Drosophila melanogaster: one gene and its partner. The protein of the gene in region 1 interacts with the protein of each later gene in a pairwise test. Each region holds a gene or a part of one and is shown in the gene's direction. Other genes may lie near its edges.

The links.
Region 2: the proteins of nht (region 1) and Taf12L interact in a two-hybrid assay, tested with the Drosophila melanogaster proteins (one study listed by BioGRID).

What each region holds. Positions count from the first base shown.
Region 1 is NT_033779.5:15,317,400-15,320,774, reverse strand, and holds nht (no hitter), read left to right. Parts: upstream 1-1,873; 5' UTR 1,874-1,928; coding exon 1,929-2,666; 3' UTR 2,667-2,821; downstream 2,822-3,375.
Region 2 is NT_033779.5:4,700,334-4,703,643, reverse strand, and holds Taf12L (TBP-associated factor 30kD subunit alpha-2), read left to right. Parts: upstream 1-2,158; 5' UTR 2,159-2,175; coding exon 2,176-2,367; intron 2,368-2,427; coding exon 2,428-2,652; 3' UTR 2,653-2,809; downstream 2,810-3,310.

The sequences.
Region 1 (3,375 bases):
AGCTCCACCTCCAAATGGCGAACTCCAACTCCGTATCCCAAATGTGTGGGTGGTCGTTTGAATGCCCTGCCCGGCTGCAAGTCTTTCTCCCGTCTCCCAGCGTCGTGTTCGCATTTTTTATTTCCATCTTCCATCTTTCGGAAAGGCCAATGCTTCCACTTCTTCAATCGATTTGAGTTTTATTATCTGGTTGGCATTTTAGTTGAATTGTTAGCTTAGTTTATGCGGCTGGCATTCGGACGTTTTCCCGGCCATGTGTGTACATATGATGATGATGATGCAAGGCGCATGGAATTGGCATATAACCAGGCTATGAAGAGGGAGAGACTAGGCAATATAGGCTGAAAATTGAAAGATATTACCTTGCATTCTATAACCACATTTTACTGCACTCGATTTCAAAGTAAAGTCCACAATAAAACATATATTCCAAATATAAATAAATGAAGGTGGTAGAGTTCTTTCTCTATGCAAAATATAGGATACCTTCCGACCAGGATATTGCACCTTGCACTTAAGTTAAACTCTAATGACACCATTGACCCACCCGCAGGAGTATATAGCCTACCCCTATAAGTAGAACTAGGGAGGGCTGGAAATTTACAAACTAAAAAACCTAAACAGGTAATTAGGTCAACGCTGCGCCGAGTGTCGCCGGCACGCGTAATGAACCTGTTCGGAAGTTAAGCCAAGTTGAGTTAGCCGACAAAGAGACACATCGCCGTGCATTTCTAATAAATTTCTAGCCGGGCCGAACGACGTCAAAACAACACGCGTCTTGCTCCTGGAAATGTCAGGTAACGTGGCAATTAAAAATGCGGCCCAACACTCCCCTGTGTGTGTGTGTGTGTATGTGTGTGTGGCTACGATGATCTTTCGGGCCAGAAGTTCAGTGGTGCACGGAAATGTGCGGGACACGGCGACAGGAGTTGGTAAGCGGGCGACTGTCGCGCGCCGCTGTCTTAACTAATATCCGCTCACCCCGAACCTGGCGACGGACTCGAGGCTTTGCGTCTACGACGGAGGCACCGAGGCCATCAGACCGCCTCCATTTGAATAATTAGGCGCTCGTGCCCGTCGAACGTCGCCAGTCGCCCGAGAAGGCCCACTTGCATTCCTGTGCACTTTGCATATCGTGTCCTGCGCCTGCCCATGCCACGTTTTCCTCCAACTCATTCCGCTCCTGTTGCTGGGCATTGAACAGGAACAAGTGCTTAGCTAGGATCGAGTTAGTGGGCCATAGAGGGCACTCAGAAAAATACTAATTGAGTTACGAATATGAAAGTCACTAGATGGAGTATTCCTAATGCAGATTATTCCATTCATTTATAGGAGGTTATAATGTTTTCCTCAGGGTTTATGTAAAGCTATCCATGTGCAATTAACAGCCTACGATGGAAACCCTAAAAATGGAGTTACCTGGCACTGTTATACTATAACATTGAAATGTAATTTCTTTTTTTATTTATAAAGCGAGTTAATGTAAATTATTTCAGTGCAGGAAAATGTTGCGGTCAACAGTCCACGAGGGGTGGGTGCACTCAAGCGGGGTAGACCGGCATATGTTTCCATGGAGGTGTTGCTGATGACTCGTGGCAGCACCACCACTAGCACCTGGCTGGGTGGCGTTGGTTAAGGGCTGTATAGGAATTTGAATGTCCAGCTGATGCATATTGCAGTCGAGAATCTAAATAGCACCTTACTCAAAAGTTTGATAATTATAAATATAATATAACAGGGCTACTACTTATTTCAAAGTCTCTAACAGTTTTTTTTTTTTTCAATTATAATGTACTTAGCTGAAAGGCAGTAACCCTAAAATGTTACCGTTTTTGACAACAGCAGCTGTAAAGCTTATTCAGTTTGACATATCGAAATTTTCACAGCAAAAAAGTGAAGCCTCGCGCAGTTTGTGAATTATATTCGTGATGTCAATTATTTCCCTTGAAGTTCCTATTCAGCCGTATGCTGGTCAGCTGCTCATCATCAATGATCTGATTCTGCCGGACTCAGGCTCTCAGGATGCAAGCAAGGCAAAAGTCTCCATAAAGAAAAATCAACGTGCATCCTTCTTTGACCGCAGCAGTATCTACAAAAAGATAATGAAGCACTTGTCCCAGGGCAACCAGGCGGATGATATCAACATTTCCGAGCAAGAATGGCTCCTGGATTCTTTTTTGGCCGCCTTGGAGACCTACATGAAACATGTGGTCAAGAAGACTATCGAATTGTGCGAGCATCGAACAAGCTATCATCTGCACAACGACGAACGTTGTGTGATGAAGAACGATATGAGGGTCACGATGATGTTCCTCAACGATCTCGAGATTGCCGACTATGGATCATCGGATGACGAGACCGGCTTTTATCGCAAGCGCCGGGCAGAGAACATCGACGAGGAGAGAAAGGTGGCTCGTCTGGAATCGGTGAATGATACGGCCTTGCTAGCCATCTCCGGTCGAAAGCGCCCGGGAGAACAACTAGCCCCAGAATCTGCTCCAAGTGGTTCGAAAGTCGCCAAATTGACCGGTGCTCCGATCCAGCGAGCATGTGCTCCGCGATTTAAGCATATGAACATCAGGGATGTACTGCAGTTTATGGAGGAGGACAGACGATACGCCCGGTCCAACATGCTCTTCGAAGCATATTTAAAATACAAGTCATAATTATGTAATTATAAGGATTTTCCAATACAGAATATCCGTTTTTATTCAGCACATTAAAATGAGAATGCATTCAAATGAATAACTATTTAAAATTAGTGTATCAGAAAACTTTTAAAAAATGCTATGAAATAAATCTAATTCACATGTGCAAATGCATTTCTAGAATATTTTCTTAACATTTTTACTATACGTATGATATTCAAAGGCATGTGTTTTTAGGCAACCAATTCCTGTATAATTTTGTTTGCCTCCCTGCATGCGCGTTACGATTTCAATTGCAGCAATCGCAGTTCGATGAACTTCCTTCTCGCGTAAATCCCCAAATGGAAACCCAAATGAAAGCCCAAGGAAACAGGTGGTGTTTATCCGTATCCTTTGTTCGGCTGCACTTGGCATTCAATGGATCCCTTGCTCCGTGCACTTTGAACTTTTGTGCTGCACTGCCACAGACGGATGACAATGGAGCGGGGCACTCAAAGGAATATCCGGCGAGACAGGAAGCATATGCGCACTGGAATCGAGTATCGAGCACATTGCGCATGCGCCGCGCGATAGGAAACGTGATTTTATCGGGGCGGCTCATTATGTTAAGTGCTGGCAATAAAATCAAAGCGCACGCGGCGACACATTTCATTGAACTTCAATTGAAGCCGTTCCCCAAGTCTGCTTACTCACGTAAGATTTTTTTTGTTTGTTTTTGGGACATGAC
Region 2 (3,310 bases), about 11 Mb from region 1:
GCCACTGTGGCGTATACGCAATATCTGGCACAGCCACTGCGGAGGCGAAAAAGTACATCCTCCGTTAATAAAACGGGGCCTAAGAATGCGTGGCTGTTTCATTTGTGTGTGGGAAATCCTGAACAACAGAATGTCATAATCATGTGAAATAAAACCATTCCAAATGGCAGCCAGCCAGTAACTGCGAGTGCATAGAACATGCTGACTGGCTGAGAATTAGCCCCTCAGTCTCGACACTCTGCCAGACATGGCAGAAACTCATTAGCCTTATTACACAGACACCATTCTGCGGCTAAAACTGAGGGGGCGGAACCGGGCGTAGCCCCCACATGCGTATTAACTATTCATGCCCACACACACACTCATTCACTTTCTCTCGCGCCGCAAAGACATTTGAATAATTTTGACAAATGTGTGATTAATTCAAACATTTTGGCAACTAAGGCTGTCATTTTTTATGTGAGCACGACAGCAAATTAGCACTTCATATACAGGCACTGACTGGCATTCTCGTTACGGATATGATATGTGCCATTAGAACGCAACATGAAGGCTGAAACAACTTCTTTTTGAGTCGTGGTTTTATTAAAGGAAGGGAACAAGCATGTTGATTAAATTTAGAATAAAGAAAATGTGTAAAATATATATATTCGCCATAAGACTTAGATGACAATTAACCTTTCCGAACCAGCCAAGTCCTCTTCAAGTCCCCACAATGACTGCCTGATTGGGGCTTGGGCGATTAAAGACCCTGACAAAGTGAAATTTATGGCACTCAGCACACTTAAAGCTAAACGTCGGCCGTTTTTTGCTGCCTTACACTATGCATAAGGCCAGCGAGCAAAATATGAAACAGAAATCAGCCAGAGAAGGCAGAAATGAGCGGACAGGGGCAGAAAAGTGCACACAGCAAATAGAAGCGGCAATATAAAAGAGTCGCATGCCGGAAACGACAAACGACAGTCGGCGGTGGGAGGTAGAAAGAGGAAGCCTAATGCCAATGCCAAACACCGGATGCGGATGTGTGACACATGGCCGAAGGGGCGACCTGGCCACCCCATCATACCAATCCCTTTCCACCGACGACGACTGGCAACATACGCACAATGTCATTGTCGCTCGCTTTAAGTAGGCGACTTTATTAAGCCGAGGACACTGAGGAGCACCTCCAAAGTGGCAGGAGCGCAGCAAAGGCACATGGCACACCATTTTAGAATGACAAAAACGGGCACTGTGGCACCGGTTTAAGCATCTTAAATTTGAATATTAGTTATTATTAATTACAATATACAAGATCATGTTTTTTCCATTAGAAGTAGATGTGAATATTAAGAAGAGCTTCCTTTTTCAATGGTGTTTAAATTAAGATTATTTACGTTTAAGCCCCTCACTAGGCATATAAATTATAGCCGCACGTTTAAATCAGTTTTCCGAGTTGGCTTAAGTTGCAGCCTGAATTCTGAAACCCGAAGCTCCCAAGGTGGCCTTAAATTTGCGCGGTGCTTCGCTGAAGCGAAATTCCCACTGTGCATTAAGGGTTTGCAAAAAGAACAAACGGCATAATAGGCTGGCAGGACACCTGGGCACGTGTGTGCTGTTGTTTTGACTGGCCTTGCCAGTACTCACCTGGCATAAAATTAAGCCATGACGACGCGCTTGTCGCCTGGCCTGGCTTCTTATTCCGGGGCAAAGGTCGTTTACGGCACGGCCACAATTTGTTGCTTTTTGATATTTATTTAGACGGCGCTGGCGCATGAGAAGTGAAAAGCGCACAGCCCAGTCGGAACATAAATCAAAAGCAGAAGACGGCGGAAAAACCGTGAAGGAAAAGCCGCAGCGGAAAGGGTAAACGCTGCGGCAACAATGGAAATCGTTTTCAGCTGCAGAGCTTGCGACTTAAACTGGTTATTTATGGCAGGCCAAGGGCGAAGAGTTGAGGCTGCAAAGCCCAGCTGGGTTTTCCCGATCCAAACTATTGCCGGGTAAAAAATTGAGAGAAAGTGTAATGTCCCACGACACCAAGAAAAAACTTTTTGCTTTTTGAAGAAAGACACAGGACCCGAAAAGTATGCATTAGCTCACACCTTATGTTCCTATAATTTCCAACCAGTTCAAGCCACTTTCTTACCTAGTGCATGTGGCATTAACGGGAAAGGACATTAAATTAATTGAATCATGGATAGTAACATGGAACCTTGGTCCTTTGCCCTCAATTTCGATGACAGCGATAAATCGTCGGATAACGAGAGCCACTCTTCGACCAGATCCTCGAGCCGCTCCAGTGACACCAGCATAGACACCAGCTCCGTGGAGAAGGAGCCAGCTAGCGTAATTGAGAGCCAGTCTGTCCCTGGCGGAAGCTACGATGTACGTAACGACTTCCCCAATTAGGACGCATTAATCGATCCGTACTTTTCCCCCTATCAGATTATCTCCAAGACCAACATGCTGCAATTTGTGCAGAAAATCGATGCAAATTCATCGCTGGACGATCAAGGTTGCGATATGATGGCCAGAATAGCCGATGCCTTTGTTAACGACATATCCATGCGCATAGTTAAGTTGGCCAAGTATCGAAAGAGCGACGTTAGCGTGCTGGACCTGAAGTTCATCCTCAAGCGGGAGTTCAACATGGAGTTCCCAATTGAATAAATGTCCAATAAAGGGAAAAATAATGTAGAATTTGAAAATTGTGGAATGAATAAAATGTATGAATAACTTGGTTTAAAACTGTCAGAAAGGCAACAAGAATAATTGTTTTCTGCACCTAATTACCAATGTTAACCAGTGCAATTACTTTTTGGTCAATAAAAAAAATTTTATTTTTGGGTCAGTTTTGCATTTTTTATAAGGGGTACCATCATCAAAATTTGCAAAAATTGGCAAAAAATTAAAATTTCCAAATTGGAATGCCAATTGATTTGGGGATAAAATACAAGCTAAACGAGGTATGGCATTCCATATTTGGACAATTGTTTTAAGATTTATGATGAAAAAACTGAATATATTTGGGCGAAAAATCAAAAAGGTCTCTTTTGGCAAAAACGCAATATTTAAGAGTGGTATTTTCTTCACAACTCGCCTAAAAATAGTCAGATAAGTACAGGAATAACTGTTTTCTGCACCTAATTACCAATAGCAACAATTGCTATTACTTTTTGGTCAATAAAAAAAATTTTATTTTTGGGTCAGTTTTTGCATTTTTTATACCATCATCAAATTTTGCAAAAATTGGCAAAAAATTAAAATTGCCAAGTTTGAATGCCAATCGATTTGGGGATAAAATACAAGCTCAACGAGGTATGGCATT